4 linked regions of the Cricetulus griseus genome follow. The protein of the gene in region 1 binds, or shares a complex with, the protein of each later gene. Links are inferred from orthologs where the notes say so. Each region holds a gene or a part of one and is shown in the gene's direction. Other genes may lie near its edges.

Region 1 (5,846 bases):
CTGCCTCAGCTGCTTTTCCTATGTGCCTTAAGTCTTGGCTGAAGGAGTCTGTCTCAGACATTATGGCACAACCAACTAATTTCCCCCTTTCTCCTACGCTGAACTCCCCAAGAGTTCTGAGAGTTCCTATGATCTATAATTTACTACTTTTGTTCCATTCAACTGGTCTAGAGCTCAAAGATGACTAGTGTTCACCTTGACATCTTCAGCCTACTTTGCTTCCATTTAGTTTATTCAAAAAAAAAAATCAGGGTCTGGAGAGATGGCTCAGTAGATAAACATACATGGTATCTCACAGTTTATAATGGGGTCTGATGCCATGTTCTGGAGTAGACAGAGCACTCATATACATAAAGCACAGAAATAAATCTTTAAAAAACCATCGGTAGTTCAATTGGTTCAAAAACCAAAATATATAAAAAATGTATACATTAATAAACACCCCTCCTTCTACCTTAAGCCACTCACTGCTGCTTCAGAGACTGTTAGTTTCATCAATTTCTTAGGAATCTAGATTCTGTCTTCCACCAGCTTTCTACTTCTAGCTTAATAAAGGGCTATCTGTCTAAAGCAGAGTTCATAAGTGAAATTTTCTCTGTCTAATTAACAGTTGCTAAGGATGCGGATTTCTTCAGTCCATGTTGAACTAGATAACTGGAGGTGGAAGGTGGGATCATCTTTCTGTGATTTGACCATACCTTAAAAACTTAGAACCCTCCTTTTCTCTTTTTTATAGTAAATATAAAATTTTGATGGCATTAAGAGCATACATGTGATACAACCACAACTGTCATCAGTCTATAAGGCTGCTTTCACTTCCCAATTGGAAACTCTGTCCCCACTCAACAATAACCCCATTATCCACCCTCCCAGCTCCTGGAAACCACCATTCTACTTTCTCTCAATGAATTCAACCACTCTCATACCTACCTCATGTCAGTGGAATCATAGACCAGTGATCTTTTTGTGACTAGCTTATGTCACTTAGCATAGTGATTTCAAGGTTCATCCATGCAGCTTATGTCAGAAATTCTTCCCTTTTTAAAGGTGAATAACACCATTGTATATTCATTTTCTCTATTCATTTGCTGATGGACACTCAGGTACTTTCCACTGATTGGTCATTGTGAGTAAAACTGCTATGAATGAATGAATATATATATATATATGTATGTATGTATGTATGTATGTATGTATGTATTCCTACTTCTGGTTCCTTTAGATATATAACATGGACCTCTAAGTCATATAGTAATTCTTTGTTTTGTTTTTTGTTTGTTTGTTTGTTTGTTTGTTTGTTTTTCAAGACAGGGTTTCTCTGTGGCTTTGGAGTCTGTCCTGGAACTAGCTCTAGTAGACCAGGCTGGTCTCAAATTCACAGACATCCGCCTGTCTCTGCCTCCTGAGTGCTGGGACTAAAGGTGTATGCCACCACCGCCCAGCATCATATAGTAATTCTATGTTTAAATTATGTGTTTGTAGGTAGCATACTGAGGATTGAACACAGAACCTTGTATATGAGGCAAGTGCTTTAACATGAGCTATGTCAGCCTTTGTTTGTTTGGTTTTTTGTTTGTTTGAGACAAATTTTACTACATAGGATGACTAGCCTAGAACTCACTAAGCTAGGCTGCCCTGAACTTAGAGCAAACCTCTTGCCTCTACCTCCCAAATGCTGGAATTAAGATCCACAGATGAAGTCAGGGCACCTATGGCCCCATCTCCCAAAGCCCCCACCCCTGAGCACTGCTGCACTTGGGACCAAGCTTCTGTAGGACATTTCAGGTTCCAGCCATGACACATTTCCATAGCAGCTGCACCATTTTACACCACCCACCCCAGTGTTGCAGAAGGGTTCTGTGAAACCACTGATTATATAAGGAGATTCTTGATTAGAGTACACGTTCATGGTAGAGCATTTAGAAAACTCAAAAAAGCAAAATGACGAAATTGAAATCCTCTTTATTCTAATTGCAGAGATATGACCCGAATTCATATTACTCCCAGGAGAAAGGGAAAAGCTGTTTTTTTTTTTTTTCTCTGACAGTTCTGTCATGGTGTTCAATAGTATAGTCCAGGAACAGTGCTGGCTCGTGCCCTGCCTGGACCTTGTCCTCAGATCCCATCGTCCTGGCTGTCCCCTCGACCCTAGAAAAGTTCACGGTGTTAACCTGGCCTCTGAATCCTATTTGCTGGTTGCTCTCGGGAGGGTCCCTCCCGGGAGCTGTGTGGAGTGTCACATTTTTGGGCGGTCTGTTTCTCCATTCTCAAAGCCACACCAACGTTGATACGAAAGCGTAAAACGTTTGAGGGAATGAATTCTAAAAACTCACCACCTACATCAGACTGAGTTGTCCTTTTGCCCAGAGGGCACCAGAGCAAGCTAGTCGGGTCAGTCAAAGATCAACACGCAAAATGTGAGAAAGCCCCGCCTTCCTTAGCTTCTCCAAGTGCCCATTGGCTGACTCTGCGGCCAGACCCTCATTCTCACTGGTCCTTGTGGCTGTCGCTCCACGGTGGCGTTCCAGAGCCAGCCACTGAGAGTCACGGAATTGGGGATTTAAAAAATGCGGTAGGCGGGGTGGGTTTTTTTCAAACTGATGGCGGCCGAGCTCCTGCGGCTCTGACACGCTCAGTCACCTCGCTCTCTCGTCGGGCTTAGCGGAGGCGGCGGAGCTTGGACCCACTCGCGGCCAACCATGGGCCCGCGCCGCAAGCCGAGGACCCCGAGAAGGCGCCCCTCCAGCCCGGTCCCCGGACCCTCGCGACGCAGCTCCCGTCCAGGTAAGCGGGCCTGCCGGAACCTCAGCTCTGAGGGTGCTGGGGACGGCCGGCTTGAAGAGGGTTCCGAACCCGGGAAACCACAGGCCTAAGGGTAAGGGTGCTGAGAACACAGCTCAGGCCTTCTGGAAGAGCGACAAGCGCTGTTTAACTGTTGAGCAAGCTTTCCAAGCCCAACATTTTATTATTTTACTAGCATACTTGGTCTCCCCAGCCTAGTTCAAATCACTGGCGTTTCTTCTGTCCTCCCTTGACTCACAGTTGAGAGTTCTGTCCACGGCCATTTGGGCTGGAGGCATGGGGCAGACGTGATGCTGGGGGAAGCTGAGAGTTCTGGATCTGGATCTGGAGGCAGCAGGAAGTAATGATGACACACTGGAGCTTCTGAGACCTCAAAGCCCACCCCTAGTGGCATGCCTCGTCCAACAACGCCACATGTCCAACTAGTGCCACTCCCTATGGGCCTGTGGGGCCATTTTTTCAGACCAGCACATTATTATTTACATGTGTTCATGTTTGCCTGCATTTGTGTGTTTATGTGTGTGTACACGTGTGCACGCACACCAAACCTAGAACCTCTGCAAGAACAACAAATACTCTTAACCAATGAGCCATCTCTCCAGCTCCAATTTTTATTTCTAATCATATGTATATGCACCGTAGTACAGGTGCCCAAGTCATTAGTGCCCCCTGGACCTAAAGTATAGGCAGTATGAGCCACCTGATGTAGGCGCTAGGAGCCAAACTTGACTCCTCCTTAACAATGATACACACTCTGACCACTGAACCATCTCTAGCTAGGCCTTAATTCATTTGGCATTCTTGTTTTCTACTAGATATGTTTGCCTCTGGTGCTTTTAGTTGTTTTATGTTTTGTTTTGTTTTGAAGGCGGGTTTCTCTGTGTAGCCCTGGCTGTCCAGGAACTCACTCTGGAGACCAGGCTGGCCTCGAACTCACAGAGATCCTCCTGTCTCTGCCTCCCGAGTGCTGGGACTAAAGGCGTGCGCCACCACCACCTGGCTCTTTTAGGTTTTTAAAAGTAAATTTTTATATTATTCATCTTAAATAGTCTAATATCAGTTAAGTTTCCTCTTCAACATTAGGGTTAGATGTATTTTTTCTTTGTGTTTCAGGGGTTTGAACCTGTGGCTTTGTGCATGTTGATCAAGCACTTTACTGCAGAGCTGCATCTCTAGAGCAGAGGGTTTTTTTTAAGTTTGGTATTTTTATTTTCTAGTGAGAATTTGAATTTTTACCAAAGGCTGTGGCTTCACAGCCCGCATTCCTAGCATTAGCACTGAATTATGCCACTTCTAAGGTCCCAACTTGGCCTCTAATGAGCACTAGCCAACTATCTTTACTTCCCTGGGCCCAAGACAAGCAAGATAAGAGATCCGTACTAGGTAGTATCTCATTCCCTCCAGCTGTTACAAAGAAAGAAAGGACCTAAAAACTGAATAACGAACTTGGAACATCTAGGTGGGAATGGGAAAGATATGAAATGCATGGGACCCAACAGGAAGGATCTGTTAGGAAGGAACTGGGATTTGAGAAAGGCTTCATGGAGTTAACACTCCAACCCAAAGGCCCAGACTGCACTCACTCTCTTAGTAAGCCTGTGGTGAGCACCTGTGTGTCTTTTCACACTCAGTGTGTGGCAAGCACTCGTGTGCTCTTGCTGACTCCACCAACTAGAAAAAAGAGAATCCCTGCTCTGTGGAGTATAGTGGCAAGGTTTGTCTTCAGCTGGGCCACAAGGTACCACTTATTTCCACAGCACTTCCCTTATGACCTAACTCTCCTCAGGTAAGAGGCGGAAATTTCTGTGGCTTAAGGAGATAAAGAAACTGCAGAGGAGCACCGACCTCCTGCTAAGGAAGCTTCCTTTCAGCCGAGTTGTGAGTTCTGGGGACACCCTCACTCTGCCTTGGACCACCTTTGCTTTAAGCCTCCCACATATGGGAGATTTCTGCTTCTTGCTGATGTGGATAAAGGTTGCTTCTAACCCTCTGGGGCGCTGCACATCCTCGGTTTTTCTGTTGCTGATTTCTCATTACTGTAGTAGAGCCCTCTCACCCAGTTTCCCTCCATACCCTGGAGATTGCCTTTTCTTCTCTCCACCCATAAGCTATGCCAGTTAAAGCTCCCAGGAGTCCGCACCTACCCTGAGCCAGGCCCTTAGATCAAGGGCAGCACATAATGGTGGAAGTGAGGATGCTTAGAGATACTTGGAGAAAGACCATCTACTCTTTGATCACTCTGCTATTCTCAGCTCATCCCCACCCTGCTCCTCCACAGGTAAGAGAAATATGTGGGAAATTCACTCGAGGTGTGGACCTATGTTGGCAAGCCCAAGCCTTGTTGGCCCTTCAAGAGGTAAGAAGGAGTAGGTATTGGTAAAGGCTAAAAGGGGGAAGAGCATCCCAGAATTCCACAGGACGGCATAAGGGGTGGGTACCACAGACTGTTCCTGGCCTCCTGAAAAGAGTAGCCAATGGGCAATACCTGACAATTTGGGAGGGTCTGATGGGTGGCCATTGGGTTCACCCCATTCTTTACTTCAGTCCTTTGAGTCAGTATGTCTCCAAGAAAAAACAGTCCAGGTCCTTCATCCATGTCAGTCTTTGTGTCCCAGGCAGCAGAAGCATTTCTAGTTCACCTCTTTGAGGATGCCTATCTCCTCACCTTACATGCCGGCAGAGTCACTATCTTCCCCAAGGACATACAGCTCACCAGGAGGATCCGAGGCATTGAGGGAGGACTTGGCTGAGCTGGCAGTGTGCTGTGTGTCCGTAAGTCTTTCCTGCTCGAAGTGAGTGCTGCTTGTTGCTGGGAGTGGATATTGGTCTGAAGGGGAGAGTGTCATGCATCCTTGGTCCCTTGCCAACACACCTATTTGTTCCCTAATTAAGGTCTGGCCTTTCCCAACTGCTTGGGAGGCATGTGTCATGGTTCGTGTCTTTTTGTACAATGTTAAAATAAAAGCTGGATGTAGTGAGTGGTTCATGCTTGTAACCCCAGTACTTGGGAAGCCAAAGCAGGAGGATAAGGATTTCAAGAACAT
Region 2 (4,994 bases), on another chromosome or scaffold:
CCATTTCAGCTCAGTGTATATCTGTGGATGTTTGTCCATCAGCCACTGGATGAGGGCTCTAGGATGGCATAAAGAGAAGTCATCAATCTCATTTTAGGGGAAGGCTTTTAGGTTATCCTCTCCACCATTGCCTGGATTGTCAGATCGTGTCATCCTTGTAGGTCTCTGGAGATCTCCCTGGTTCCAGATCTCTTCTCGGACCTATAGTGGCTCCCTCTGATATGGTATCTCTCATCCTGCTCTCTCTCCTCTATTCTTCCCCCAACTCAATATTTCTGCCCCTACATTTCCTCTCCTCTACTGCTCCTCTCTTGCTCTTATTGTAGCAGCTCCCTCCCCCCTACCCTCATGCTCCCAATTAGTTCAGGAGTTCATGCCACTTCCATTCCTGGGGACCATTTATCCCTTAGAGTCCTTCATGTTTCCTAGTTTCTTTGGTGAAGAGGATTATAGGCTGGTAATCCTTTGCTCTATGTCTAAAATTCATATATGAATGAGTATATACCATGTTTGTCTTTTGTGACTGGGTTACTTCACTCAGGATGGTTTCCTCTAGTTCCATCATTTGCCTGCTAATTTCAAGATTCCATTGCTTTTTTCTGCTGAGTAGTACTCCATTGTATAAATGTACCACATTTTCTCAATCCATTCTTCAGTTTAGGGGCATCTAGGTTGCTTCCAGGTTCTGGCTATTACAAACAATGCTACTATGAACATGGGTGAACATATATATGTCCTTGTTGTATGAACCTGCACTATTTGGGTATATACCCAAGAGAGGAATGGCTGGATCTTGAGGTAGACTGATTCCCATTTTTCTGAGCAACTGCCATACTGATTTCCAAAGTGGTCTTACAAGTTCGCACTCCCGCCAGCAATGGAGGAGTGTTCCTTTTTCGCCACATCCTCTCTTGCATAGATTGTCATTGGTGTTTTTGATTTTAGCCATTCTGACAGGTGTGAGGTGGTATCTCAGAGTTGTTCTGAGTTGCATTTCTCTGATGGCCAATGATTTTGAGCACTTTCTTAAGTGTCTTTCAGCCATTTCAGATTCCTCTGTTGAGAATTCCCTATTTAGTTCTGCACCCCACTTTTTAATTTCATTGTTTGGTGTTTTGGTGGCTAGCTTCTTGAGCTCCTTATATATTTTGGAAATCAGTCCTCTGTCAGATGTGGGATCGGTGAAGATCTTTTCCCATTTTGTGGGTGGTTGTTTTGTCCTACTGACTGTTTTCTTTGCCTTACAGAAGCTTCTCAGTTTCAGGAGGTCCCATTTATTAATTGCAGACCTCAATGTCTGTGCTACTGGCGTAAAGTTCAGGAAGCGGTCTCCTGTGCCAATTTGTTCAAGGGTAATTCCTAATTTCTCTTCTAGAAGATTCAGAGTGGCTGGATTTATGGTGAGATCTTTGATCCATTTGCACTTAAGTTTTGTGCATGGTGACAGGTATGGATCTATCTGCAATTTTCTGCATGTCCGAATCCAATTGTACCAGCACCATTTGTTGAAGATGCTATCTTTTTTCCATTGTATAGATTTAGCACCTTTGTCAAAATAAGGCATTCGTATGTGCGTGGGTCAATATCAGGGTTTTCAATTCGATTCCATTGGTCTATCTGTCTATTTTTGTGCCAATACCAAGCCGTTTTCAGAACTATGGCTCTATAGTAGAGCTTGAAGTCGGGGATGGTGATACCTCCAGAAGATCCTTTATTGTAAAGAGTTGTTTTGGCTATCCTGGGTTTTTTATTTTTCCATATAAAGTTGAGTATTGTTCTTTCAATGTCTGTGAAAAACTTTGTTGGAATTTTGATGGGGATTGTGTTGAATCTGTAGATTGCTTTTGGCAGGATTGCCATTTTTACTATGTTAATTCTACCTATCCAAGAGCATGGGAGATCTTTCCATTTTCTGGTATCTTCTTTAATTTCTTTCTTTAAATTCTCAAAGTTCTTATTGTACAGGTCTTTCACTTTTTTGGTTAGTGTTACCCCAAGATATTTTATGTGGCTTTTGGATATTGTGAAAGGTGATGTTTCCCTGATTTCTTTCTCATTGGATTTATCATCTGTATATAATAAGGCTACTGATTTTTTTGAGTTAATTTTGTATCCTGCTAACTTGCTGAAGGTGTTTTTCAGCCGTAGGAGTTCCCTGGTAGAGTTTTTCGGGTCACTAATGTAGACTATCATGTCTGCAAATAGTGAAAGTTTGACTTCATCCTTTCCAATTTGTATTCCTTTGATCTTCTTTTCTTGTCTTATTGCTCTAGCCAGAACTTCAAGTACAATATTGAAGAGATATGGAGAGAGTGGACAGCCTTGTCTTGTTCCTGATTTTAGAGGAAACGCTTTGAATTTCTCTCCACTTAGTTTGATGTTGGCTATTGGTTTGGTGTATATTGCGTTTATCATGTTTAGATATGTTCCTGTTATTCCTGTTCTCTCCAAGATCTTTATCATGAAGGGATGTTGGGTTTTGTCAAAGGCTTTTTCAGCATCTAGCTTTCATGCTTTGAACTGTTTCAAGAGCTTCCTTCACTTGTTTGGATGTCTTTTCTTGGGTTTCTTTAGATTCTTTAAGAGATTTGTTTATTTCTTGAATTTTTTGGTTTGTCTTTTCCTCCATTTCGCATAATTTTTTGTTTGCTTTTTCTTCTATTTCTTTAAGGGATTTTCTTGTTTCCTCTTTAAAGGTCTCTATCATCTTGCCGAGATAATTTTTGAGGTCCATCTCTTCTTCATGCTCTGTGTTGGGCTTTTCAGATCTTGCTGGAGTGGAGTCCCTAGATTCTGGTCGTCTGAGAGATTTGTTGATATCTTGTATTTTTTGGTTTGTTTTTTCTTCCATTTCTTTAAGGGATTTTTCTCATGTCCTCTTTGAGGTTCTCTATCATTTTCCTGAAGATGTTTTTAAGGTCATTCTCTTTTGCTTCATCTGCATTGTGATGTTCAGGTCTTGCTGGTGTATGATTCCTAGTCTCCGGTGGTGTCATATTGGGTTTTCTGTTGTTGGATGTGCTTTTACCTTGTCCTCTTCTCATCCTTTCTTCTCGTGGGTGTAGCAGGAGTCTCTTGCTCTCCTGGTGGTTATGGGGCTAAGGTTCCCTTCTGGTAGATGGGATATCCAATACTCTTATGACTGTCCTTTTCTCGTGGATGGAGTTGGAACTGCCACTGGGGCCTCTGGAGGGTCTGGTGTGTCGGATTCCGCCACCGAGTTCTGATCTGGGCCAGTGGATGGAGGCAGAATTGCCACGGGGGCTTAGCTGTATGGGATCCCACCACCAAATTTGGATCCGGTGCACGCTGAGCAGTGACATGTTTTTTACTTTTTGATTTCCTTTTACATTTCTACCACAGTTCTCCCTCCCACCCCTCCTCCAACCCCCTCACTTTTTCCCATCTCCCCTCAACTCTCCCACCCCCCCCCCCCAGTCCATTCTTCCTCATGGGTAAAGGCTCCTATGAGGAGTCAATATAGTCTGGCACAATAAGGTTAGGGGCAGGCCCCCTCTCCCATGCATTAAGACTAGGCATGGCATCCCACCATAGGGAGTGGGCTTCAACAAGCTAGCTCATGTATTGGGATTATATCATGCTCCTACTGCCACTGAGCATGACATTTCACCCTAAGGAATAGGCTCCAATAAGCTAGCTCATGTACCAGGTTTGTATCATGGTCCTCCTGCCAGGGGCCCCTCAGAAAGTCCAAGCTAACAACCGTCTCCCACATATGGAAGGCCTAGTTCGGTTCCCTGGAGTCTCCACAGTTGTAGGTCTAGAGTTCATGAGTTTCCAAGAGCTTTGTTCAGCTGTCTCTATAGATTTATGTTAACCCTTTGATGTTCACAGAAGCTGTTTGAACATAGGTGTTGGCTCATTTTTACAGAAAGGAAATGGAGGCTTAGAGAGCTTAAGTAGTCCAAAGTCATGTAATTTATGAGCCAGGCAGAATAGGACCTTTACCATCCCAGCTCCAGAGTCAGTCATCTTCACCCTGTGTAATAGAACTTCCTATATGTACGTATGGTCTAAATGGCTCTTAGAAAAATGCTTATTCACTAAACACTACTATTGCAGTAGGGTTTCCCATGTGTAACCCAGCTGGACTTCCAGTTTGTGACCCTCCTTAGTTCCCTACGTGCTGAGATGACTGTCACAGGCTGGTATACATGTTTAGCTTGTGATTGCTTTATATTTGTATTATTGTTTTCCCCCTAGATCTTATAAGACCACGAGATACATACCAGTTTTTCGTGGAGCAACATGGTTTGAAAGTTTTTAAAACATTGGATACAGCATTTTTTTCTACTGGAAAATTGGTTTTAGGACCCTATGAAGAAAAAGGAAAGCAGCATGTTGGCCAAGATATATTGGTGAGTATATTTCTCCATTTCTGCTTTTCTAGAAGTACAACTGATTCTTTTTCTCAGATGATGCATTAAAATTCTATTTACTTGGTAGTGACATCTTATTGTTTATTACATAAAGAAATCTTTTCCTTTATTAAATGTGTTTCAGTTAACCAGTCAGTAATTATTTAAAAATACCTGTACTGGGCATAGCACAACCTTAGGTTCAGTGGTTTATGGTGTCATTGTTTCTTAAGAGAATCTTAGAATATAGATTTGCTAATAAAATTGAATTTTAGAGCTGAAGATTATGGAGGTTATGTCTTGTGAACTTCTGTAATCATATGGTTGAGGATCAGAATAGTTAAAAAATGACTTAACTAGTTAAGAGTGCCCTTCAGACAAAGGGCTAGCTGCTCCATTCAGTACCAATAGGCTATTGTACTTGACAGGGTCTGAAGTTACAATGAGATTTATGATGAGTTGGTATGTCTCACTCTTTTCCTTCCTCTCTCCCTTCTTCCTTTCTTCCCTTCCTCCTTTCTTCCTAGCCCTTTGTCTCAGTATCTGCTGTATACACATGTCTGCTGTGCATGTTCTTGAGTGGTAATAACTTTCCTTATCTCTGGTTCATCATTC
Region 3 (5,592 bases), on another chromosome or scaffold:
TTTTTTCAGGGAAAAAAACACTTCTGGGTAAGACTGGAGAGGTGAGGTGCCATGATGATAAAACATGGCTCAGTTGCATGGAGACAGGTTTAGGATGTCTGGAGCCTTATGTGTCTCACTGGGATAAAAATATTCTAATTTTGTATAACCAGAGGAAAAACAAGTGATTGTTTGTCTGTGTTCTTTTATTCCATGAATAACACAGCCTCACATTGCATAACAGGCACCCATTCTGGAAAATGTGGCCAGAGAAAGCTAATATTAAAAATATTCAATAAGCCAAACAGTTTGTAACAAAAAAATATTCTATTATGCCATCATTGGTCTGAATATATCATGGAGATTTTCCTAAATGCACACTCAAGTTGTGAAAACATACACATTTTTCAAAGATTTATTATATTTAATTATGTGTAGGCAGGCATCTACACATGAGTGTGGGTACATGTTGGGGTCAGAAAATCCTCTGGAACTGGAGTTACTGGTGTTTGTGAGCAGCCTGACAAAGGCACCAGGAACTGAACGTGGTTCCTCTGCAAGAGGTGCACACAGTCTTAACTGCTGAGCCATCTCTCCAGACCCATCCAGACATTTGAAAAGTACAGGCATATAATGTATATGTTTAGAACTTACGGTTAAGACTTAAATGCCATATTCACTTTAGATACCATTAAAACTTAATGGAACAGGCCAGGCGTTGGTGGCACACGCCTTTAATCCCAGCACTTGGGAGGCAGAGGCAGGCGAATCTCTGTGAGTTCGAGGCCAGCCTGGTCCTGTCTCGAAAAAAAAACAAAAACAAACAAACAAATAAACCAAAACAGAACAAAAACTTAATGGAACATAGATGGTATGCAACTAAGTTACCCAGCACCCTCAGAGTATTGAACATGTGGTTAGTGCTTCATAAATATCCCTAGGCTAAACCCCTGTCAACATTTTTAATTGCTTAGATTTCAAAATGTGGCTTCATGACATCAAAGCACAAACATGTTTTTTTAAAGATTTATTTATTATGTATACAGTGTTCTGCCAGCATGTATGCCTGTATATACTTAATATTTAACCTTCACGACCAGATTTCACATCACTATATTTGAAAACTCCTTCAATAATTAGCAAAATATGGCTTGTAAATAGCATCAAATATTTTAAAACTATTTTTATTAATAAAATATAGCAGATCCTTGAATTGTATATATCTTCACTAATATAAAAACATTTAGGACAAAAGTATCTGTTCTGTTTCATTTATGTAATTTCTTTACTTGATTTTCCTCAAAATTATCTGTGATAAATACCTAGCAAAAACAGCAAGTTAAGGAAGGAAAGATTTATATTAGCTTTCAGTTCAGAGAAATTCAGCTCACGGCGACGGGGAAGACACGGAGGCACTGGGGGGCCGAATGCTGTGTCTGGTTGACCCCCTTTGCACTCAAACAGCACAGCCTTCGCATCCCCCCATGGGCCAGGGTCACGCTGGCAGTTTGGATGGTGCAGCCCCCATCAGTAAACAACGCCAAGAGAGTCAGACAACTGAGGGCCCTAAGCTAAGCATCTTGAAAGCGACTTGATAGCCTCTCTCTGTGCCTGCAGCAAATACATTGTGCGGACATCCACAGCCCATGCGCCTGCCAGAGCCTCTTCCCTCTGCAGCTTCAACAGGACAGCGTGGGAAGATTATGGTGCAGGTCCTCAGTAATGATTCCGTTATCACCCACTTTGAGATACTCACACCAACACAAGCACACAAATGCAACTGTTATGAAGACAGAGTAAAACCATCCTAAACTAGGGTTCAATCCCCCAACCCCACAAGAAGACAAAATCCAAAAAAACTTATGTGAAACATTTCTAAAATGTCAACCAAAGTAAATGCCCTCATAAAATGGACACCTAATTACCAGTCCTCTCAAGAAACAGTATATAATCAGAAATTGGAAAGGGAGTTGATCAAAACCCTAGGATAAAAACCATAGATTTTGTCACATTCATAGTATCTGTCAGCACCTTTAAACGTGCCTTTTGTTGGAATTTATGAACCCTGGCTTTCCTGACTCCTTTCGGGACAGTTATTTGGCGCTGTCTTTCTCTCAGCCCTTCCAAGCTGGCGACCCAAAAGGATGGGGACAGGGACCGCCTCCGGGACCCCGCGGGGACACGCAGGCAATTCGTCCAGGCGCCTCTAGAGGGCGCGGGAGTGCCTCATGGGGACGCAATGCGCATGTTCCACCCTCTCCGGCTGCCCTCCCTCCTTCGTTTCCGCCGGAAGCGCTCCCTGGGAGAGGCGACCGGAAGCACAGGCAGGATCGGTTGCGTAAATACGTTTGAAAGGCCCTATCAGCGCGACGGGCGGCCCGTTTGATCTGTGCGCCGGCTTGGACTGTGCGGATTCCAGGCTGTGAGCGGCCTGCGCCATGGATCCTAAAGACCAGCCGGATAACAGGCTGCTGCGGCATCTCCAGGAAAGCCGGAACCGTTTCCAGACGTTCATGCATCGGCTGATAGCGAAGGTGGGCTGGGCTGGGCTGGCCGAGGCGGGCAGCGGGCAGCGGGCGCGGGCAGCGGGCAGCGGCAGCGGCAGCGGGCGGGCGGGCGGGGATCCAGCGCCGAGGATCTGATCAGCAGCTCTCTTTCCCCGCAGTACAACCAGCCCTTTGAGGACGACCCTTTGGTGCAGATGTCCACGCTGACCTACGAGACGCCCCAGGGTACGGAACCTTCCTCCTCTTGGCAGTGTGCTAGAATGGTGGGGTCTAGAATTTGCAACGCGGCACTTGTTCCCCTCACTTTGCAACCGTGAGTTGCTGAGTTCCAAGTCATTTCTCTAAAAGCAATGCCCGGAGACACAGATGCAGCCTGAGTTTTTAAACGCCCGGCGCGGAAGCCCGAGCTAATTGCTTAAAGGCAGCACAGTGTCTCCGTAAAGTAAAAAGGACGTTGACAACCATGGGTACCGGAGTGCCTGCAAAGCCATTGGAACTGCTCGGCTCTCACGAGTTGTGCTGTGTAACTCGGACCCATCTGTTGTAGACAGTCCATCAGTCTGCCTCTCCGGAGCCATTTTATTAAATGTTGTGGACTGCCTTAAACCTTTGTTTTGTTTTGTTTTGTTTTTTCGAGACAGGGTTTCTCTGTGTAGCGTTGGAGCCTATCCTGGCACTCGCTCTGGAGACCAGGCTGGCCTCGAACTCACAGAGATGCGCCTGCCTCTGTCTCCCGAGTGCTGGGATTAAAGGCGTGTGCCGCCAACGCCTGGCACCTCTTGCTTGGATTCTTTAACTGGGGTGTGTTTGCATTTGATGAGGTTAGTTCCTTCCATAAGACTCATCATTTAGTAATAAAATCTGATTTCACATCACAGTCTGCCAAGAGTCTATAGAACCCACTCTTTGACAAGTGCAGTCTTTGCCCTTTGTCTTTTTGACTGTTCAAGGCACATGTTCAGTGAAAGTTTTACACAGAAACAGAAATAATACTGCAGCAGGTTGTTTTTTTGCTCTGGGTGGGATCTGGATACAGTAATACAGGGGTCTTTGAGGGTGCTGTCTGTCTGTAGGCTTCTCTGTGTTCTTGTGACTGTTCATGCAGGGGTGGGCAGCGTCTGGAATGTTTTGGACAGTCTATCTATCTTGAATAACACTCATTTTGTCCATGAAAACCTGATGTCAGTTATATGAGAACAACAGTGAAGTATCTGAAGAGTTTGAGACCATCCCGTGTTGGCATATAAAGGGCCCTCCCTGAGAACTGGCCAGCACATGGACTCCTAGGGCTGCAATTGTTAATAACTCTGCATCCTAGCAAGCTCGTAGCTTGTATTCATGCCATGAGTCCCAACGTCCCATTACTTAATCTGAGAGAGTCTTTGGCATGGCCTTTCCAAAGATGCTCCTGACCCTCCCTGTGCAATAGCATGAACCCCCATCAAAGACAGTGATTGTGGCAGCAGCAGCAGCAGGAATAGATTCATTTGCCTGTGTTGATGGTTCACCTGTGCCTGCACTTGTGAAGTTGTGAAGTCCAGTTTCAACCCTGCAGTAGAAGCCCCTTTTAAAAACCATTGCTGTCAAAGGTAGATTCCCACAGAGAGGGCCACTCAGCCAGGGCAGCAAAGCCTCAGTTTGACTCATGAACCCATATACTCAAGCATCGCTGTCTTCTGGAAAGACTGTGTTGTACAGTGATCAAGTGCAGTCAGCACCTCCCAGAAGTCACGTGCTGGCTCCTCTACATGAGTGGAGAGCCTGGGCTAGTCGTCTGAACTTCCTTTTCCTTTGCGTGTCTGTCCACAGCAAACATGCTAAGTCTCTGTTCCCCGTGGGCTTCTGGGTGGGTGTAGGAGTTACATGCAGATGGGTTGTGGGTACTAAATGGTGTCTCCTTGGTAAAAATCTGGAGCATAGAGAGTGCTGTGTAAATTTTTTTATGCTTCTGTTATAATACAGTCATCTCATACCTCAAAACCCACCATTCTTTCTTAGTAACTTTAGAAGGAGTATATTGCACAGGTTCTGCTAGCTAGTGAGTGACAGGGACGGTGCACTTGAACTCCAGAGTTCTCTGTATGCAGGCTTCTCTGTATTAGGCCAGTAGATTGCCCTAGGAAAGCCAAGGATGGGGTACAAAAAATGCCCTGTAAAAACCCTTGTTCTAAGCCAGGCAGTGGTGGTGCACGCCTTTAATCCCAGCACTGGGGAAGGCAGAGGCAGATTTATCTTTTTGAGTTCAAGGCCAGCCTTGTCTACAGAGTGAGTTTCAGAACAGCTAAGGCTAGACAGAAACCCTTGTCTCAGGGAGGGGGTGGGGAATGCTTGCTCTGTAAATGTATGGTATATGTGCCCCCTCTCCAGTCAATATGCATGTAGTATGTATTTAGAATATGAACTGTCCTTAGCGCTTCAGGTTAGTGCTGAAATCAGGTAAGCTGCTGCCTTCTGGGTAGGAGAGAATTGTCATTAATGATAGGTTTGTCCAACACTGCCAAAACCTGGATTGTTTTTAGTGTACAGCCTTTTGTGCCATCCAGCTTGGTTTTCTGTCAGTGCAACTGAGCATTTTGGATTCCTTCAATTGTCATCTTCATTTTTTTTTAAGGATTGAGAGTTTGGGGAGGAAAGTTGATAAAGGAAAAAAGCAAGGAACAAACTCAGGTAATTATCGTCAAGTTTACCTTTAATGCTTTACTGTAGTGTTGACTAAATCCCTGTGTGAGTGAGCCCTGAGGCCACTGCTGAGAGCTTCGAGAGACCCACCTCAGGTATTTCTTCTGTTGCCTGGCTCTTGTGTGCTAAATTTTCTCCATCGTAGTTCACAGGGCCCTCAGAACCGTCTCATGTGTGCCGATGCTGGACCAGATTGGGGACCTGCAGACTGTGTACTAGACCAGCTAGAGACTCCTTTGTTGGGGCCTTACAAAAAAAGACCAAATCTCATTTCTTTTGATAAAAACAATGGCCCTTTCATCCTCTGAAACCAGGAAGCAGAAGGATGAAGAGGCGAGAGTGCAGAATCACACACCCTTCTGCAGGGTTTCCCTGCACCAGGGCTCTACAGCTAGTGATTGAATACTGGTTTCCTGGATGGCATCAA
Region 4 (5,769 bases), on another chromosome or scaffold:
CAGCTGGGGTGACTAGGGCAGAACCTGGGTATAGGTATTGGAGCTCAGTTAGGCCACAGTTGTGTGCATACAAACCTCAGCTTTGTCCTGGCCACAGGGCCAGGCTTAGGCAGCTCCCAGCTCTGCCTGCCGGTACAAGATCATGGCTTTCCTGCCTAGGGCAGACCACTGGAGCCAAAGGAATGTACTGAGGGAATGTTACATATCAATAAGTGTCCAACTCTAGTCTAAACTTTTTTGTAACGATTTACTTATTTTTATTTTATGTGCATTAGTGTTTTTCCTGCATCTATGTCTGTGTGAGGTGTTGGATCCTCTAGATCTAGAGTTACAGTTGTGAGCTTCCATGTAGGTGCTGGGAATTGAACCTGGGTGAGGCATCTCTCCATCCTCCTAGTCAAGAACTATGTCAGGAAGGGTTCTGAGGCTCACACAGAAATGTGCAGTAATGGATTAGTATTGTCTGGCATCAGTACAGATGGGACAGTAATAGTATGCTTGCTGTGTATGCATGTTCTCTGGTCCATCTATCCATCCTTCCCTAAATTAATTTATTGAGACGGTGTCTCACTGCATGATCCTTGGCTGTCCTGGAACTCACTATGTAGACCAGGCTATCCTCCAATTCACAGAGTTGCCTGCCTCTGCCTCCTGAATGCCAAGACTAAAAATGTGCACCACTGGGGCTAGAGAGATGGTTCAGAGGTTAAGATCACTGGCTGCTCTTCCAGAGGTCCTGAGGTCAATTCCCAGCAACCACACGGTAGCTCACAACCATCTACAATGGGATCTGATGCCCTCTTCTGGCCTGCAGGCACACATGCAGACAGAACACTCATATCTAAAAAAAACATAGTTTTTTTTGTTTGTTTCTTGTTTTGTTTGTTTGTTAGTACATCACCACTCCCAGCTCTCTAGTCTTTAAACTCCCAGACAGTGCTCTTCACCCTTGCTCTAGCCTATTAAACCTGCTGTTTCTTTCCCCCCTCTATTAAGAGCTCTCTAGCATTCGGGTTCAGGTAAGCATCATAAGTGCCCCAGGATCTTTCTTGCTTCCATCCCATTGCCTTTTAGTTCGTATTTGATACAGAGTAAACTTCGTAAGTGGGTAATGATAGAACATGAGAGAAGGATGCAGCGATGGGTGGATTTATAACAGGATCTGAACTGAAGGGCTGAATCTCAGGGTGGGTAGCTGTATGGTTATACAGACAGATGTGGATGGAACCTTATGGGTGGCCTTATTACTCTGGTGATTGGTGCCCTGGGTTTATAAGTGAAAGAAAGTATAGTTGCTGGGCAGCTATAACCAGGGGGAAATTGTGGATAGATAGAAAACTGGCTGTCGGGGGCAGTTAAAGGTTCATGGCCAATAGATGCCCTGATGGATAGATGTGTGAGAGATTTACAATAGCTCGTAGTTCATGCCTAAGGCACATGCAAGGATGAATAGGTCGATGGATGGTAAATCCACCAATGAATGACTGGAAATGAGGGAGCAAAGGAATGCCTTCCCGCTCCCATAACTCATGGGTTGGGGAGATGAGATGGCTTAATGGGTAAAGGTGATGACAGGTAAGCCTAGTGGCCTTTGTTTCACCACACACACACACACAACCCACGTGAAGGTGGGAGGAGAGAGCCAACTCCACAAAGCTATAGCACGTGTGTCCTCACAACTTCTACTACTCACGCGTTGGCCTTTCTGGCTGTGATGAATTCGCCTCTTGGGAGCCCCGCGGTAGGCTTCTTTTTAAAACTGTCTTCCGAGTGCGACGGTTGGTCCCTTGAAGACAAAGAGCACCACTCCAGCAGCAACCAGGGCAACCCCTCCTTCACCAAGAATGTGTCTCCACTTACCACAGGTCTGGGAGGAATGAGCAACTGGGATTGCGCAAACCTGGGTAGAATGAGCAACTGGGATTGCGCAAACCTGGGTAGTGCTCTGACGCACCCTTGGGGTACTGTGGCGCTGAGGGTGCTGGAAGGAGAGAAGAGAAGGAAGAAAGGGAGAAGGAAGAAGAGGAGGAAACCCAGTGAGCTGGGGATGGTCCTCACTGGGGAGGGACCCTAGCCCGGGACCCTAGCCCCACACCTTATGCCACCCCACCCCAGTTCCCATGGCCTCACGGTGCGCCTGGGGCTCTGTGTACTTGGTGCGCAGATGGTGCAGGAAGTCGCGGAATTTGGTGGGCAGAAATTGCCCCAGAAGTGTGCCCACGGATACAGCCGGCTGCCGTGTCCCCCGGGCCCCCGCCCCCCGGGCCGTGCTGTACGGTAGCGGCGGCAGCACCAGCGTTCTCAAGGTCCCGCGGCTCCGCGGCCCATACGGGACCCCGGGGGACAGGTAGGGCAGGCGATCGCTGTTCTGCCACCACGCGCCGGCTGAGCCTCGCGTACGGGAGTCGGACGTGAACAGCCGAGGAAGCAGCGGAGTGGAGCGGCGTGAGGCGGCCCGGTCGGTCCACCCCTTGGGCACGTAGACCGGGGTCCCCGCTGCGGGCTGGCGCCGGTACATCGTGAGTCCGAGCTCAGCTCAGGACATCTTCGCGCCTGGGGGACGCGCGGGGGCAAGGGGGACCGCGGGGAGGTCGCGCACCAGCCCGCAGGCCATAGCGCCTGGTAGGGGCAGCGACCCGGCTCCGGCAGTACCCTCCCCTGCTGTGTCTGCGCTCAAAGACTGCGAAGGCGAGGCCAGCCCTTTGGGGGCGGCTGTGACGTTGATGTGAGCTAGTACATGCCGGGCAACTGGCACAGTGCAGGGCGTGGGCACCTGCTGCCTTTCTTATTTAGCATAGTTGGGAGAGGGCTTGACTAGAATGCTTGAAAAACTGAGCGTGACAGCCCATGCTTGTGGTCCCAGAATTTGGGAGGTAGAGGCTGGAGAGATGGATCAGTGAGAGGGCCCGGGTTCGATTCCCAAATCCTGCCCCAGCAGTGAGTACAGCTCTCAACCTCTAGTCCCGGGGGGGGGGGGATCTATCACCCTCTTCTAGTCTCTGAGGGCACCAGGCACACATGTGGTGCACAACTATGTAGGCAAAACACGCATATACATACATTTAAATTTTTCTTAAATTTAAGGCTATTGCCAGATGTAGTGGTGCACACCTTTAATCCCAGCACTTTGAAGCAGAAGCAGGTGTATCTCTGAGTTCAAGGCCAACCTAATCTACAGAGTGAGTTCCAGGACAGCCAGAACTGTTACAGAGAAACCCTGCCTCTCTGTTCATTTTGAGGAAGGGTCCCCCTAAATGGCACAAGCTGGCCTAGACTCCATTGACCCTCTGCCTCTGTTTTCCAAATTCTGGGATTACAAATGTGGACTACCACCTGCTGCTCATACCTGACTGAAGGCCACAGAGGAAGGAGGCATGGGAGGGCTGATCTCCTACTGGCTGTAGACTTCAATGGGAATCGGGCAGCCTGCTCTCAGAATCAGAGCAAGCTGCAAATACACATGGCTTTCTCCCACCTCCTAGCCTAGATTCTGACAGGGGGTCTCGGGAGAAGCCAAGACCAGTTTTACTGCCCCCCCCCACACTGTTGGGGATGAGACAGAGACAAGTGCTCCACCATCAAGCCACATCCAAAGTCAAGACACATTTTGATCAAACTCCCAATTAGGGAGGAAAGCCTCAGTCCCCCTTCATCTCTGATATTGGTGGTTGGCAGTGGGGGGCTGCAGTCTCCAGGACTGCTTCTTCCCCAAGCATACCCTATTCTCAGATTGTCATCATCAGCTCTAAACTGATTTCTGGGAGACATCTCACTCACCTTGTAGGGTATGCTGGGTGAGGCCCTGGAAGGTCCTGTGAGTTTAGAGCCCCCCAACAGGTGGGCTATTTGCTGGGAGAGCCCATCTTTCCACCTGCTGCCTCTGGTGGCCCCTCCCAGGTGCCTGCAAGTCTTCTTGGAGTGATTGTGATCTGGCTCCACTTTCACCCATAGCTACTGGAGAGCAATGGGCAATGTGGCCTGGGGACAGAGGTGGAGCTTGTGTGCCCTGGATGCCACAGCCACAGCCACAGCCACACCCATACCCACAGAGGCCTTGGTACTCCTGGCCAGGGCAGCCATGCTTAATCCAGAGAGGAATAGGCCAGTTTCAGCTACTTTTCCAGACCCAGAGTGGCTATACTTGGCTGAGTGGGAAGGACAGGACTTCTTCCTGTCAGTCTCACCCTCATAGGACAGGAAGAACACAGTGGGCCTAGAAACCCACAAAGCAAGGTTAAGTTCATTTTCTGCTTCTCTTGGCTATATGATGCTAATGGGTTTTTAATTCTGGGAGTTCCATGAGTCAATAGGATAGGTAGATGGATGAGCCCGTGAGTTGTAGTTGGGAGAGACCTGGAGGAAGCCCATGAGAGTGTAGAACTCAGGTTGGGGGTTGAGGGTACAGTGGAGACAAGTATATGCAGGTATGGTACAATTTTATGGTTTAAAAAAAGTGAGTATCACTCACATGCCCACAGGAGGCGTCATGAAAGATTTTCTGCGACTTTCTTCAGAGGGATAGAGGCACATATTTCCTCAGGAAGTTAGAATATTGAGTGGGAGACATAAACTAATTTCTTTTTTGTTTTTTTTCTAAGACGGGGTTTCCTTAGCTCTCAAACTCACTAGTCAAGGATGACCTTGAACTCCTGATCCTTCTACCAAGTGAAGGATACCTCCCCCTCCTAAGTACTGGGATTGCAGGCATGCACTGCTGCAACTGGTTTCATGTGGTGCATGCTAGGCGATCACTTTACCAACTGAGTTATGTCATTATTGTATAATTACTTAAAACTATGAGTATAGGTGTGTATCTGTGTGTGGGCATGTGCACTTGGAAGCCACAAGTGAGCGCTGACTCCTCTGGAGCTGGAGTTACAGTGTTTGTTCTGAGGACTGAAGTCAGATCTTCTGCAAGAGCAGTATGTGCTTGTATCTGCTTTTATGAGCAGCCCCCAAACCTGCATATTATTATTATTATTAATTTTGAAACATGCTTTCACTATGTAGCTGTTGATGTCCTGGAACTCACTATATAGACCAGGTTTGCCTTGAACTCACAGAGATGTACCTGCCTCTGCCCCATGAATGCATACACACACAAGATTGCATTTGTGTTTGAGTCCTTGGAGTGCTGGGATTAAAGGCTGTGCTGCCACCCTACCTACAGCAGGTACTCTTAACTCTGAGCCACAAGCCATCATCTCTCCATGCCCTGGCTTTTGTTTTTGTTTCTGAGAGGAGGTCTCAGGCAGTATAGGCTGGTATTGAATTTACTGCTGAGATGACCTTTGACCCCGGCATTCTGGCTCTGATTCCCAAAGGCTAGGATTACAGGCACTCATCACTGCATGCTGATGACAAGCTCTTTAAACTATTGAGACCAGATATGACCTACAACACTTCAGAGCAGATATCAAATGATATGTACACAGATTTAGGGTGGGACTCCATCGTGGGTGGGGTTTTTCTGCCTCTTAAATCTCTATAGCCTTCATTACATTAATGTACACATTGAGTACGTTAATGGTAGAGCATTCTTTTAATCCCAGCACTCGAAAAGCAAGAGGAGCACTATGAATTCCAGGCCATCCTGGGCTACCTAGCAAGTCCCTGACTTAAAATAAAGGCAAACACTACTTTAAGTGCCTCCTGTATTCAGAGCCTAGGGAAGGCATTGTATAACATCAGGATGTTGTCCGGCAGAGGAAAGCTTAAGGTGAAAACAGCTATGAGAGCTTTTTTGTTGTTGGTGGTGGTTTTTCGAGA

What was found.
Region 2: Cenpa (region 1) and Cenpc share a complex: the UniProt entries of both Homo sapiens proteins name them as parts of the CENPA-NAC complex. The link is inferred for Cricetulus griseus from reciprocal best matches to the Homo sapiens genes CENPA and CENPC.
Region 3: the proteins of Cenpa (region 1) and Hjurp are in contact, whole or in part, in a crystal structure (PDB 3R45), measured with the Homo sapiens proteins. The link is inferred for Cricetulus griseus from reciprocal best matches to the Homo sapiens genes CENPA and HJURP. Residues at the interface, in NP_001800.1 of Homo sapiens: Lys64, Leu65, Ser68, Arg69, Arg72, Asp83, Phe84, Asn85, Trp86, Gln87, Ala88, Gln89, Leu91, Leu92, Ala93, Glu96, Ala97, Ala100, Phe101, His104, Glu107, Asp108, Leu111, Leu112, Leu114, His115, Ile132, Glu136; in NP_060880.3 of Homo sapiens: Glu14, Asp15, Leu18, Lys21, Leu22, Ser25, Arg26, Arg28, Phe29, Arg32, Met33, Leu36, Lys39, Tyr40, Pro43, Phe44, Thr47, Pro48, Val49, Val50, Gln51, Met52, Ala53, Thr54, Leu55, Ile65, Trp66, Gly67.
Region 4: the proteins of Cenpa (region 1) and Ntmt1 are in contact, whole or in part, in a crystal structure (PDB 5CVD), measured with the Homo sapiens proteins. The link is inferred for Cricetulus griseus from reciprocal best matches to the Homo sapiens genes CENPA and NTMT1. Residues at the interface, in NP_001800.1 of Homo sapiens: Gly2, Pro3, Arg4, Arg5, Arg6, Ser7; in NP_001273725.1 of Homo sapiens: Tyr19, Trp20, Met30, Leu31, Gly32, Tyr34, Ile37, Trp136, Asn168, Ile175, Asp177, Asp180, Asp212, Glu213, Ile214, Tyr215.

Annotation. Positions count from the first base shown.
Region 1 is NC_048600.1:13,682,392-13,688,237, reverse strand, and holds the start of Cenpa (histone H3-like centromeric protein A), read left to right. Parts: upstream 1-2,608; 5' UTR 2,609-2,699; coding exon 2,700-2,784; intron 2,785-4,588; coding exon 4,589-4,680; intron 4,681-5,080; coding exon 5,081-5,158; intron 5,159-5,417; coding exon 5,418-5,552; 3' UTR 5,553-5,574; intron 5,575-5,846. UniProt on the Homo sapiens protein: Histone H3-like nucleosomal protein that is specifically found in centromeric nucleosomes. Replaces conventional H3 in the nucleosome core of centromeric chromatin that serves as an assembly site for the inner kinetochore.
Region 2 is NW_023276807.1:151,258,848-151,263,841, reverse strand, and holds part of Cenpc (centromere protein C), read left to right. Parts: intron 1-4,224; coding exon 4,225-4,379; intron 4,380-4,994. UniProt on the Homo sapiens protein: Component of the CENPA-NAC (nucleosome-associated) complex, a complex that plays a central role in assembly of kinetochore proteins, mitotic progression and chromosome segregation.
Region 3 is NC_048595.1:439,836,131-439,841,722, reverse strand, and holds the start of Hjurp (Holliday junction recognition protein), read left to right. Parts: upstream 1-2,297; 5' UTR 2,298-2,417; coding exon 2,418-2,513; intron 2,514-2,644; coding exon 2,645-2,711; intron 2,712-5,097; coding exon 5,098-5,153; intron 5,154-5,592. UniProt on the Homo sapiens protein: Centromeric protein that plays a central role in the incorporation and maintenance of histone H3-like variant CENPA at centromeres.
Region 4 is NC_048599.1:142,487,996-142,493,764, forward strand, and holds the start of Ntmt1 (N-terminal Xaa-Pro-Lys N-methyltransferase 1), read left to right. Parts: upstream 1-1,841; 5' UTR 1,842-1,844; coding exon 1,845-1,865; coding exon of another isoform or gene 1,866-1,981; exon of another isoform or gene 1,982-2,036; intron 2,037-2,130; coding exon of another isoform or gene 2,131-2,518; exon of another isoform or gene 2,519-2,666; intron 2,667-2,808; exon of another isoform or gene 2,809-2,937; intron 2,938-5,769. Other genes in the region: CUNH9orf50 (uncharacterized protein C9orf50 homolog), read right to left, coding at 1,694-1,786, 1,861-1,981, 2,131-2,518. UniProt on the Homo sapiens protein: Distributive alpha-N-methyltransferase that methylates the N-terminus of target proteins containing the N-terminal motif [Ala/Gly/Pro/Ser]-Pro-Lys when the initiator Met is cleaved.